2 linked regions of the Diceros bicornis minor genome follow. The protein of the gene in region 1 interacts with the protein of each later gene in a pairwise test. Links are inferred from orthologs where the notes say so. Each region holds a gene or a part of one and is shown on either strand. Other genes may lie near its edges.

Region 1 (7,255 bases):
TGGCCATAGAAGTGTGCTCAAATTGATTTGTGTTATGGCTGGACTGGAAAATCTAGTGTTAGTTGTTTTTTGCCCTGGGGCATTGTTTGTACCAAACTCTACTTTTCATTTAATTTTCCAATACATTTTGAAAGATTGAAATGCTTGTGATCAACATTTGATCCACTTGCATTATTTAAAAAAAAAATTCTGAAAGTAATTTCAGATTCCAAAAAATCTTGCTTTCAATTAGAGTAAACATAATTAGAGTGATGTCGTGCTCGGAATGGTAAATCTCCCTTTGAATCTATTAAGCATGTTATCTCCTTGTCCTGTCACTGAAAGGAATTCAGTATAGATCTGAAGTATAGATCTGAAGTGTTTTTCTGTGCATGCTTCTAATAGAACTTGGGAAAAAATTAAAAGAATAAAATTGTAATGAACCTTTTCTTGTTGCCCTTTCTGCATCTGCCCAAATTGTTTCTGTTTCACTTAGTGATGCTATAAAAAGAGGATACTCAAAGCTTTCAGGAAATTTCAAGATATTCAAGAAACACATTCAGATAGCTATTGCCTTTAAGTTACTGAATCATTTTAGTTTTTTATATTCTATGAAATACGCATTTTCAATCTTTCTTTCAAATAACTATATCAATTGCTGTATTGAAACTCTGAAGACTTAAAGACATGACTTATCCTGGCTTTGTCAATATTTGTATCTTTCTTACAATCTTCTGCTTTGCAGTCATTTACCAGAATTATAATGCAGCATGAATAAAGCTAAAAAATGACTATTGATTACAGAGAAAGCTTTGTGAAATCATTTAGTCAGTTTCCCCACTTGAGAAATCGGTGAATAAAAATAGGTCAATAGATAAGGATGGAATGGATGTAACACAGTGCTGTGCCTCCCTGGGTTATAAAAAGGGTCAAAAATAAATCCCCATAGAATTCATGTTTTTATACACATAAAATAAAATGATCCTTACCAAATCCCAACTATAAGTCCACCTTTCTACAATCTATTCTTCGTTTTGAAACCACAGGTTTTGAAAGCATAACTTTTACGTTTCCCTGTTTCAGTAAAAGCATTTCCTTGTCACTGCCCCTTTTAACCAAACAGGATGCCCTCATCTTCGGGCTAAAGTGCCTGTTGTCATCCAGGTATTCACTGGGACTTTTGCTGCAACAGCTACTCTCTATTTTCTTACTGTCTCATGCAACCTTACAGCACTTTTCAAAACTGCATTTCATAGTGCACTGAATTCTGTATCCTGGGCCGATTTTTGCTAATAGATGGTGAGACCTGAGTCCACTCTCTCTATTAGTTCCCATTCATAGGAATACCGTCGGGGACACGGGAGGAGGGGGGCGGGGAGGGGAGAGGAGGGGCCCGGAGGAGGCAGAGGGAGGGAAGAAAATACCTTCCCTGAACTGGTACAAGCTCAGCTTCAAACGATATCCTAGGAAAGAAATTAAAGACTTCTTAATTAGTGCAGCAATTAAGCTTTCTTGGTAGCATTTTAATCAGCACAGGCCCTATCAAAGGACAAACAGAACGATTTGCAGGTCTTTGAATTTTAAACAGTCTTATTGATTTCAGCACAATACGTCTTCACAAAACACAGGGAGAATTTTCTAATATCAGTTACAGTACTTTGAGTTTTGCTTATGCAAATTGAGTGCAGGTTGGAGAAGATGAGGTGGAGGGAGAGGACCTGAAACAACCAGAAATGTAAAAACAATAAACAAACAAGACAAAAGCTTTGAAAGCTAAAGATGCAATGGAAACAGTGAGAATTTGAAATGTCTCTAGTTGATTTATCTGTGGTTGTTAAATACTGTTTGCCTTAATCACTGGTAACATTTCTCAAAAAAAAAAAAAAAAGGAAGAAAGAAATCTTAAAAATTTTTTGAGGCTTTTCTTTCCTACGTGTTTTAATTTGCATTATATGCTTTTTCTAATCCTATTGTTTGTTAAAGGGGTAAGTGGTAGTTCCTAGAGACGGTTTAGAGACCTGAGGTGGGGGGGCGCAGGGGGAGGGAAGCTTCCATTCAGGTGGGGGCAGACACCCCGAGCCCTGCTTCTGAATGGAGCACGTGCTGGGAGGCGCAGGGTTCCCAGCAGAAAATTCGGAGTTTGCTTGGACGCAGGGTGGGATTATGGTTTAGTGAGCTATCATTACTCCCTGTTTGTGGCTTCCAAATGTGGCAGGTACAGGCTGAGTGACAGTTTAAGGAAATGTGAGAAATGAGAATGCTAAGGGCAGATTTTCAGCATTTAAATTCGATTTTTTCATTTGTGGGTCTAGAATTTAAAATGAAGAAACTGTAGTTTAGCGTTTTAAAAACTATATCGGAGTTTATTAAAGTTGTGCATGCAATTCCAAAAGAAGATTAGTTTTTCAGGGCTTAATATCTTCTTCCTGTCTTCTGCTCATTAACATAGTAATTTGGCATTTTTAAAAAAGGTAATATTTTCCAAAACACGTATAAACACTTAAAAGACGTGTTTTGATGTATGGAATATATATCAAATTCCTATTTTTAATTGCGGACAGATATGAGGAGTGAGAAGTTAATATAACTTACTTCTGAATATATTAAAATACATTGGGTAACTAGGCCAAACAACTGTGTAAAGTTTAGTTATCTTTGTAAAAGTTTATCTACTTTTTAGCAAAATCAATTTTCTGAATTCAAATTTCTGAATTCTGAGGCCTCCTGATATGACTGCTATGCCCCAAAAAGTTTAGCAGAAACTTACACAAATTAGTCAAAAGTGTCCTATTTCTCTGTAGACATTCCCTGCACCTTTTGACATCAAACTTCAAAAAGTTGAAAGAATTAAAATAATAAAGAGAAATATGATAATAATCTCGACATCAAAATGGCAGAAACTTCATTATGAAATTTCCCAACACTGTGAACCTGATGTTAATAGTTTATTTTCGAAATCTGTCAAGTGCTAAAGCATTGTTTCTCTCTTGTGAAGTTAATGAACATGTGTAGACAGGTTTAAAGCCTAATTATTTAAGATTCCTAGAGCTATAAACAGAGAACAGACTTGATCTATGTTCAAATCATATATTGGTCAAAGATCCTTGAATAAATACCTCCATGCAACAAGTTAGAAAAGGGAAGAAAAGAAGAGAGCAAGGCCAAGAGGAAGAGAGGCAGTTTCCATTCAGCCTGGTGTGGTATTGAAGCAGAGCTGCGCTGTTTGTGGTCAGCTAGCCAGCTTTGTTTTCTTCATTATTTGCAAAACACATTTTCACTGACAAATCGAAAAGAACTTTCCCAAAATATTGATACTTTTCAAACATGAAAAAAATATTGTTATTCATGTAACACTAGCAGCTAGCCTTGGGTCTTAAAGGACGTGAAGATAGTTGGTTACTGTGCAAGACAGGTGAATTAATTATCGAGTTTTCAGTAAGAAAAATCAGTGTTTTCTTGTTTTCCACTTTCTAAATCTTCAAGGGTGCCTGGTCTCTTCAAAGTCTGGTATTGGTATAATAAGCATTTCTGACCAGCCTTTGGGGCACAAGTGAAGTTATTGTGAGCGATCCACATCAGGGCAAGCAATTCTTTCTTTCCATAATCTCTCAGGAAATAACGAACTAAATACAGAGCATTCCACTATATTTAAGCGGTTTCAAACTGACTTTTTCCCCACAACTTGAAAACTGTCCTGGAATTTTCACTATCTATATAAAAATAAATAATTTAATAGGTAGATAAAAACAATCAGATGCATAAAACAAACGCTTTGCTTACATGTGAATTTTCCTCAAAATACTTTCTTAATAATTATGAAGTGAGGGGATGTTTTCATTGATATCTCATTGGAAAAAACGAGCGGAGATACATCCTAAATCCTTGAAGGAGACCTCGGAGCGCTCTGGCTCCTCTTTAAGTTGGCAGGCGATTGCTTAGAAGGTTTTGGAAAAAATGACGAGTCGTCGCGGACGAAATGGAATTATTAGACATGCAATCTAACGGTAGTAGAAGAGAAATAGATCGCCCTCTCCTTTTCCGATCGCCACTTCTGTGTCCCCGGCTTTTCCTTTCCGTCCCTCCCATAGTTTCTTTCCTTATCCTCCCCCACCCCTCCTCCTTTCCTTGCTCACTCGCTTTTCCTCTGTCTCGCGCTCTCGGAGTCTCTGCTCCGAGTTCCTGGTTGGATAATTTGGGTTAATACTAGTGAGTGAGGTTTCTGCGGCTTCAAAGGGTATTTCAAGTTTCCGGAGCTCCTCCCCTCTGCACCGTGTGACAACAACAACTCGTCCAGCCGGCAGCCTGCACTTTTCAGCTCATTTTCTCTCTGTCATTCCCCTCTCAATCTTTGATCAATGTACTTGCCAGGGAGAACCCAAGTCCTTCAAACCTCCTCCTTTTCACCTTCATCCTTAACTTTGTGCTAGAGCGGGACCCACACAACAACAGCCGACCCTCCCCGCCCCCGCCCCCCCCCCCCCCAAACCAGCCCCCGATCCCAGCCCCCGGAGAGGACTCGCATTTCGACTTGCGGGACACTTTTGTGCGTTTCTCTCCAGAGCGCCTCTCGCGCTCGCCCCTCCTGCGCTCTCTCTCTCTTACCCTCACCTCCTTTTTCCCCCTTCTCTCTCTTGCTCCTTCTCGTTCTCTCCCGGAGTTGTTGTTGTTGTTGTCCCCTAGCTCCTTCTCCCCCTATTTTCCCCCTTCCCCTCCCCGGGGTGTGTGGCAACTTTTCCCCTCGCTTCTCCTCCTTCTGTTTCCCCTTATATGTGACCATGGCAGTGCCGGCGGCTTTGATCCCTCCGACCCAGCTGGTCCCCCCTCAACCCCCGATCTCCACGTCTGCTTCCTCCTCCGGCACCACCACCTCCACCTCTTCGGCGACCTCGTCTCCGGCTCCGTCCATCGGGCCCCCGGCGTCCTCAGGGCCAACTCTGTTCCGGCCGGAGCCCATCGCTCCGGCGGCGGCGGCGGCGGCGGCCACAGTCACCTCCACCGGCGGCGGCGGCGGCGGCGGCGGCAGCGGAGGCGGCGGCGGCAGCGCGGGCAACGGAGGCGGCGGTGGCGGCGGCGGCGGCAGCAGCAACTGCAACCCCAGCCTGGTGCCCGCGAGCGGCGGCGGCGGCGGCGGCGCCTCCAGCACCCCCATCAACGCGAGCACCGGCAGCAGCGGCAGCAGTAGCAGCAGCAGCAGCAGCAGCAGCAGCAGTAGCAGCAGCAGTAGCAGCAGCAGCAGCAGCTGCGGCCCCCTCCCCGGGAAACCCGTGTACTCGACCCCGTCCCCAGTGGAAAACACCCCCCAGAATAATGAGTGCAAAATGGTGGATCTGAGGGGGGCCAAAGTGGCTTCCTTCACGGTGGAGGGCTGCGAGCTGATCTGCCTGCCCCAGGCTTTCGACCTGTTCCTGAAGCACTTGGTGGGGGGCTTGCACACGGTCTACACCAAGCTGAAGCGGCTGGAGATCACGCCCGTAGTGTGCAATGTGGAACAGGTTCGCATCCTGAGGGGACTGGGCGCCATCCAGCCTGGAGTGAACCGCTGCAAACTCATCTCCAGGAAGGACTTCGAGACCCTCTACAATGACTGCACCAACGCAAGGTAAAGAGCGGAGGACAGCCTCCGCCACCCTGGGTCCCTTCCCACATGCCTCCTTGCCCTCTCCTCGCTCCCTTCCCGGCGCCGCTTGCTCCGCGCGCCCGCGAGCCGCGCGCCCCGGCGAAAGCGGCCCTCTCCTCCCTTTCCTCCGGGCTCTCCAGCCGCTCTCGACCGTCTAGGAAGTTGGCACCTCACCCTGCCCAGATCCCGCTCTTCCGGCCTGATCCGCCCCTTGCTCGCCTGGGCGCGGGGGCTTGGCTGCTGTGGGACGCGGGAACCCCAAGCCTCGGGGCGGAGGGGGCGGGAAGGAGGAGCACGGTGCCTTAACGGGAGCCACAGCCCCCTTCCTGGGCCGCGCCAGCGTCTGGGGACCCCTCGCAGCGCTGCTGCCCGCGTGTGCGCTCCCTCGGACCCGGGTTCCACCGCGAGCCGCAGGGCACCGGCGGGGCTGGTTGGCGGCGCCGAGCGGCGTCCCGGGGGCGGGGAGAGGTCGTGACCCTGCCCGGCAGGGTTCGGGGAGCGCCAAGACGCTCTCGGGTGAGGGGCCCGCGAGGAAGCCTAAGGAGTGGGCCGCTTCCAGGTCGAGAGGGGAACGACCTCAGAGGCTGAGAGGCCTGGGGCAATCCCGGGGGACCCGCAGCCAGTTCAGCCCCGAAGCCCCGAGAGAAAGCCCGCCGAGGGGAGGGGTCTGTGTGTGCGCGCATGTGTGCTTGTGTCCGCGTGTGAGCGTGTGCGTGTGCAAAGGAGATAAAGGGGCACATTTGCCCCAGGGCAGATTCGAGAGGGGACTAGCAGGTTTCCTTCTGTAGGGGGAGGTGACCGGGTGCCTGACTCTTGGAAGCTGAACTGCAAAGATGGGGAAGAAGAACACACCTCGCTCGCTCTCTCTCCCACCAAACTGTTTTTTTTTCTTTTCTTTCTTTCTTTTCTTTTCTTTTTCTTTAAAGGTTAGTAGCGCACGCAGTGAGCAGGCGCAGGCTTTGCACTGGGATGCTCTGCGGACCTGAATACCCGGTGCCGTAGCTTCCCCAGCCTCGCAAAGCGCGCGAACCCTGGAGGCCGCAGGACCGGGAGCCCGGCCAGACCAGTTTTATGCTAATGAACGCTCACTGGGGGAGGATCTACCAAGAGGGGGCGGGAGTGGGGTAACTTGTCAGTTTCGGGGTAGAAATGATCATTCCACCCGCTTTCCCAGTTCCGCCTTGCCCCACCATTCTCCGCAGAGGGAAAAGTTCAGAGATGCCGGGAGAAAGCGAGTAGGGAAAGTTGGAGACCAGAAGCGGGCGCGTGGGAACTCCGCGCGAATGCGCGGCGACTTCGGTACCCTCCAAATAAGTTTAACGACCGGGAGAAGGAAAGGAGTTTTACTCTTTTAGATTGTCTGTCCTAGTAGAGCTAAGGAAACTGAGATGGGAAGGAAAGAGGGGTAGGACGAGACCAGAAGGAAACCGGGGTGAAAAAGCCCTTAGCTACTTCTTCCATGGAAGAAGACTCTTGGCTAGTGCCCCTAGAAGGCTGTAAGACGAAAAAGACTCAAACTCCAACCCAGCAAAGGTCCTATCCCGACCTAGCCAGAAACTCTTTTCCGTGTTTATCTGCCATTCTTTGCACGGGGTACATGGGTGTGTGTTTGGGTTTTGAACGTCATTTCTACTATTTTTGGGTGAATACTGAGAACGC
Region 2 (6,932 bases), on another chromosome or scaffold:
TGATGAGAGGTGTGTATGTCCGTGCCTGGGATCTGAACCCGTGAACCCCAGGCCACCAAAGCAGAGCATGGGAACTTAACCACTACGCCACGGGGCTGGCCCTGAATCAGTGCTTTTTAATCACAGCAACTGAAAGATGCACTGTAATTTCAGATAATTTAAATATGGAAAAAATATGTAATGAGAATCTATAAAAAATTACTTTAATAAAACAACAACAAAAAATTACCACTCTGTCAATTAAAATATTGGGCTATAATTGCACTTGCAAATATGCTCCCACTTGACTAAAATATTTTTTTTAATTGAAATGTGTAAAATTGAAAAGTTAGGACACAGTTTTTCACATTATAAAAGGTGACACTACAAAATTTAGACAAATTCATTTAAAATGATTCCATTTTCAAAAAACAATTTTTGTCAGCAGATGATAATGGTTCAGCTTAAGCTGCATCCCTATCCCAAATAGAACACAGTGACAGGTTCTATTCGAGGTCAGTTAGTACCTGTTAATAACAACTAGAAGAAAAGGATATTAACACTGTAGTCTGTATTTCAGTTCAGAATTTGGAATTCATGGAAATCCCATTTATTCTCCAGGCGGTGGAGATGAGATTGCTGAAGGTGGATAAGAGGCCAAGATGTGGAACTCATACTAGATATACTATAGAAATCTTGCCATCTGCAGAAAAAAAATACAAAAGATGGTGTTAGGACCCTCTCCAAATTTAAATTCTGAATTTCCATTATCACACTTAAACACATCCTAACACACAGTCAATGCTAATCTACAGCTGCATATTACTGTCCTAGGACAGCCCAACTGAGCCACGTGGTTATAGAGGCATCTGCAGGTCCCCAGCAATGAGAGGCCTTCTTATCTGACTGCCTTCAGCCCTGGGAGGAGCTTAGGAGGAACACCAAGCTCATATGAGAGGACAGCACACTGTGCCCCAAAACAAACATCATCTTGGGTTGTTTTTTTCCTCCTTTCCTCTTCTGCTTCTTCTACTCCTTCATTTCCTATCCCCCTCCAGTTTTCCCTCTCGCCTATTAGCAGTATACTTCAAAACAAAACAAAACAACAAAAGCACTTGCACAACACACACACAAACTTTTAAGTTCTATTCTAAAGGCTTTAGAGGCAGGCTTCTTCACTGGGAGTGAGGGGGATGGGGTGGGTGGTCCATAGATGGGTTATGGAGAATCCTATGAACACCCTGAAATTGTATGCAAAAATATTATGTGAAACCATAATTTTTAAACCAGATTCCCAGATGTGTGACTCCCAAATGAGCTAAGAATGAAATACAGACTCAATTTACATTTATTGAGCACCTACTATGTACTGTATTTAGGTCCTTTCACATTACCTTATTTAATCTTAACAATCTTACCAGGCATAGTACATGGTGATAACACAAGCTTTTTGTTTCTTCCTGTTTAAACATTCATAAGTGGGGTGAGAGATGAATTTATAAAGTTTCTGGAGGTTAGTGTTCTCCATCTTGTCTGCACATTAGAATCACCTGAGGAGCTGCTTTTTAAAATTTCAATACCCAGGCTGTACTTTAGAGCAATGAAATCAAGCATCAGCACCTATCCAAGCTCTCCAGGTGATTCTAAAGCACCGCCAGGATTGACAAGCTCTACTCCAGCAGTGTTTCCCGTCAACAGCTCCTCATGCCCTACCCCACCAGACCCCAGCTTCTGAAGCTGCCACTGGGTCCCAACCCCTTAATTCATGATGCTGACCTACATTTCCTTCTGATTCTATCCACTCAGCCTTCAAGACCCACCTCCAAAGCCCCTATTCCTTGTAGAAATTTCCAATTAGACCTCGTTTTTCTCTAAACATCCCACAAACTTTTTTACTGTAACTTTCCTATGACATTCACATCCCACCTCGCATTACAGTAGTTTAAGAACTTGTACTTCCTCTCCTTCCAGACTACATTAGTTCCTTAAGGGCGAGGATCAAGTCTTTTGCATCTGTGTATTGTTCTCAGCATCTAGCACTGCCTTGCATTAGACACTGGAAAAAATGAGAACTTATTTCTAATTTTTGGGGTGAGATGCAGTGTGCTGAAATGGGGGACCAGAATTACAAGGTTCAGTTGCTGCTCTGCTACATCCCACTAGAAGCAGGAGACGTCGGTCGTCACAATAACAGCACGAACAGTAACAGTGAGCTCTTACCGTGTGTCAGGCATTGTGCTAAGCCCTTTAAATGCATTAACTCCTGTTCGAGTCCCACAACCCCAGGAAGCAAGTCGTATTACTACTTCCATGACACCGATGAGAAATGACAATTTAACTCCCTTTCTGGCCCAAGGTCACCCAGCTAATATTTAACTAAAGCTGGATTCAGACCACCCTGTTTCTTCATCTGTAACACAGGAACTAGAATAAACCCGGCGCCATTGGACGAGAGATATTAAGTTTAATATCAGTTCTGGCAAACCGGAAACCGCTACCCGAGTGAGGGAAGCCCCTCCTCCGCCGGGTCTCCCTCCGGCCTGGGAAAAATCCTACTCATGCCCCCAAGGCACACCCTTCGGACTTCAGCCTCGGAGTCAGCCGTGGCTTCGGGATCCGCACTGCCGCCGGTGTCTCCACTGCTCGCCACCCCGCGGGCCGAGTCGTTGTTTGTGCGACTCACCTACAACCGGGGGGCAGGCCCAAGCCTCGCAACCTGCCCGGCGCTGGGACAGAGGGCGCTGTGCGGCCGCGAGGGGCGGCCCCGGGCGTCCCGAAGGAGCAGGGCCTGGACCTTCTCCTTCCTCCTCCGAGCGCCCCGGCGGACCTCGGCCGGGCCGGGCTGGGGGCTCCCCGTCCCGGGTTTGGGGAGCTGAGGCCCACGGAGCAGTCCCGGCCCGGCCGCCCTTCTCTGCCTCGAGCGCCCGGAGCGCGGTCCCCACCGTACCTTCCGGCCACTAGGCCGTGCCGGGCCCGAAAGTTCCGCCCTTGCCCCAGGTTCCCTCACCGCCACTCTGGCCCAGCCTGCAGACACCCGGCTCCACCTGCGCGCCGCCTCTTCCGCCTTCGGAGCTGTCAGCTGAACGGGGCGGATCGGAGGGCTCTGCGCAGCCGCCGTGACCGCCCCCGTCCCTTGGTCGCCCCCTGCTGGCCGAGGCGGCGCCGCGGGCGCGACCACCGTCACCCCCACCGCTGCCTGCATGTCTTAGTATGCCTCTGGAGAAGTTGATGCATATGCAGATTCTGGGTCCCCGTGCCCAGGGGCCTCCTTTCAGTAGTTTTGGGATAGGGCCCGGGAATTAGAACTTTTACCAATCCCTGGAGGTGATCGTGAGGCAGCGGTCTACCTGGGGCAGACACTCCCCTAACAATCCAGACCTGCTCCTCCACGTAGGCTAAGCAAGCCTCCTCTCCCTCCCGCCATCCCAACTACCTTCTCAGAAATGCTGCTCATCTTTCTGACACCTCCACTAGGAAAGCATTCACTCATTGTTCATACTGTAATAGTAATAACTACCACGTTTATGGAGCAGTTAGGATGCTTCAAACACTTTGCTAAGTGCTTTATGTACATTTTCTCTTTATCTTCACTATAACCTTACGATTTAGATACTATTTATTATCCCCACTTTACAAATGAGGACGTTGAAATTTAGAGAGGTTCAAGAACTTACTGAAGGGCACATGATTATTGAGAGGCTGAGCAGGAATTAAAATTACATGCCCCCTACCTCATGCCATATACAAAAAATTAGTCAAGATGGATCAAAGACCTAAATGTAAGAGCTAAAACTATAAAGCTCTTAGAAGAAAATGTAGAAGTAAATCTTTGTGAACTTGGGTTAGGTAATAGTTTCTTAGGTACCACACCAAAAGCATAAGCAGCAAAAAAAAAAAAAAAAGATAAATTGGATTCATCAAAATCAGAAATTTTGTGCTTCAAAGGACACTATCAAGAAAGTGAAAAGACAACTCACAGAACAGGAGAAAATATTTGCAAGTCATGTATCTGACAAGGGTCTAATATTCAAAATATATAAAGAACTCCTGCAACTCAACAATAAAAAGACAACCCAATTTAAAAATGGGCAAAGGATCTGAATAGACATTTCTCCAAAAGAGATATACAAGGTCAGTAAGAACATTAAAAGATGCTCAACATCTTTAGTCATCAGGGAAATGCAAATCTAAACCACAATGAGAAACCACTTCACACTCACTAGGATGGCCATAATAAAAGACAGATAATAACAAATGTTGGTGAGGCTGTGGAGAAATTGGAACCCTCATCTACCGCTGGGAATATAAAATGGTGTAGCCACTTTGGAAGACAGTTTGACAGTTCCTCGAAAAGTTAAACATAGAGATACAATAAGATCCAGCAATTCTACTCCTAGGTACATACCCAAAAGAATTGAAAACATATGTTTGAACAAAAACTTGTACACAAATGTACAAGTACATTTGTATATATTTACATTTGTATATATTTATTTATGTATAGTGTACCTAAATGTACACCAAAGCAGCAATATTCACAATAGCCAAAAGGTGGAAACAACTCAAACGTCCATCAATGGATAAATGGATAAACAAAATGTGGAATACCCATACAGTGGAATATTATTCAGCTATAAAAAGGAATGAAGTATTGATGCATGCTACAACATGGATGGACCTTGAAAACGTTATGCTAAGTGAAAGAAGTCAGACACAAAAGGCCACATATTGTATAATTCCATTTGTATGAAATGTCCAGAATAGACAAATCCGTAGGGACAGAAAGTAGACAGCCAGAGGCTGAGGCAGGAGAGCATGGGAAGTAACTGCTAATAGGTGTGGAGTTTCTTTTAAGGGATGGAAATAATGTGGTATTAAATAGTGGTGATGGTTGCACAATTTTGTGAATATACTAGAAACCACTGGCTTGTACACTTTTAAAGGGTGAATTTTATCATATGTGAATTATATCTCAAAAAAAATTTAGGTACAAAGCACTGTTCTCAACACTTAAGCGGGATGCTGAAATGTTGGTTCCTGCTTCTGGGAACCTTCAAACTAATGTGCCCCTAATGATCTAATAAGCTCCTGTGTCCTTCTTATCATATACTTCTCCCCACAGGAAAGCAACCTGCGGAGCTAGGGCTCTAATCCAAGCCTACAGGATTCTAAAAGTTTTCACCACCAGTGCCTCCCAGGCAGGACTGGCTTCATGGGCCAGCCACCTGTGCAGTCACACAGGACCCTGTGCTCAGGAGGGCTTCAGGCTTAGAAGGACCCTGCTCTTGGTTTAATGCTCTGCTATGGCCATCTTGAAATTCTTCATACTTTTCGAACAAGAGGCTCTGAGTTTTCATTTTGCACTGGGGTCTGCAAATTATGTAGCTGGTCCTGCACCCAGGAGATAAGAAAAACCAAGTGGGTAAACTGAGGCACTAGAGGTGCTTACCTGGCTGCCACAGAGGGAAAACCTTGAAATGCAAATAAATAATCATTCCTAATTTTCTGTACTGTCACAGAACAGAAACCTAGCTACCCCTGTAATAGATACCAAAACCAGAAACATACTCCTTAAAAATGCAAAGGAAGGAAGAAGAATCTCTGAAGCCATTCACTAATATCATTATTCTTGTTTAGCCAAAAGAAATAAAACCAAGAGCAAAACGCCTGGCAGCCCTACCTCAGAGTGCTCAGAGGTGAGACCGTGAGTCCTGCCAGAGACCTTCCGATGCAAAAAGTGAGGAGCCTAAGAGTTAGCTCGGGAAATTCTCACAGAATCAGAGCAGGAGGTGAATTGTGACATCATGTCGTGACCTCATATCAGATGCCACAGGATGGAGGGCAAAGAAGAGAGACTTTCAAAGCAATGGTAATAGTTTGGATGAATGTTCAAATCGGACTCAATATTTAGAGACAAGTTTTGAGGTCAGGATTGGATAAAGAGAGTTTTCTAATAATTTTTATTTTTTTGACTACATAAAAATAACAGACTTTCATGTCTTTGGTTTCACGTGCCTGAATAGTCTTTTTGTTTTTTTTGTGAGGAAGACCCGCCCTGAGCTAACATCTGATGCCAATCGTCCTCTTTTTGCCGAGGAAGATGGGCCCTGGGCTAACATCCGTGCCCATCTTCCTCTACTTTATATGGGATGCCGCCACAGCATGGCTTGATGAGCGGTGCGTTGGTGCGGGCCCAGGGTCTGAACCAGCGAGACTTCAGGACGCCAAAGCGGAGCGTGCGCACTTAACCAATGCGCCACCAGGCCGGCCCCATCGTGTGCCCGAATGGTCTTTTAAATTGAGCTTTCCCCATGTGCCCAGCCTTCTACTGTGTTAAGAACTTTACATGCATTGTCTCATTTGAATACCCAGGACCCCATGACTGAGGTAATTTTGTATCCCCATTTTACAGATGAGCAAATTGGGGCACTAAGAGGAGAAGTGATCTGACCCGTGTCATACAGTGGTGACAGACAGGATTAAGACCATTTCCTCATCAGTGTGACCCTCTCCTGTAGCCTGTAAGAGAATTAGAGTTTGTTGTAACAAATACAGAGAGAACAAAATAGTTCTGGCCTTAAGAATTAAAAGAGAAAGCCCTAGGGAAGTTAGGAATAAAGTTTATGACATAATGATAGGCGAGAATGAGCATACAGAGAGAGAGAAAGAGACCCAAATCAGTTGCCTGTCCCCAGGGACACTAGATGATGGAGTCTAGGGCTAGGAGAGGGTGGCATGTGTGACCTAGACCTGAGGTCAGGACCCAGTCCATTGGGTTGAGAAGCAAGAGTGAGTCACAAAATATGTGTAGTGACTGTAGGGACTGGCAAGCCTTCCGTCAGTGCCTACGCTTCTTCCCATCCGTTGCTGGCGTCCAATGGATGTCCAGAAACTTTGCTGAGCTCATCCCACCTGCTCAGTGGGGGCAGCCTCCTTTTCAATGGCCACCACTC

The links. The genes of interacting proteins can lie anywhere in the genome.
Region 2: the proteins of DACH1 (region 1) and RNF14 interact in binary tests that used the Homo sapiens proteins (3 or more experiments, as listed by UniProt). The two-hybrid records come from large-scale screens. The link is inferred for Diceros bicornis minor from reciprocal best matches to the Homo sapiens genes DACH1 and RNF14.

Annotation. Positions count from the first base shown.
Region 1 is NC_080748.1:52,105,692-52,112,946, reverse strand, and holds the start of DACH1 (dachshund homolog 1), read left to right. Parts: upstream 1-4,233; 5' UTR 4,234-4,754; coding exon 4,755-5,578; intron 5,579-7,255. UniProt on the Homo sapiens protein: Transcription factor that is involved in regulation of organogenesis. Seems to be a regulator of SIX1, SIX6 and probably SIX5.
Region 2 is NC_080740.1:60,077,764-60,084,695, reverse strand, and holds the start of RNF14 (E3 ubiquitin-protein ligase RNF14), read right to left. Parts: upstream 3,022-6,932; 5' UTR 2,987-3,021; exon of another isoform or gene 2,927-2,986; intron 2,920-2,926; exon of another isoform or gene 2,663-2,919; intron 683-2,662; 5' UTR 507-682; intron 1-506. UniProt on the Homo sapiens protein: E3 ubiquitin-protein ligase that plays a key role in the RNF14-RNF25 translation quality control pathway, a pathway that takes place when a ribosome has stalled during translation, and which promotes ubiquitination and degradation of translation factors on stalled ribosomes.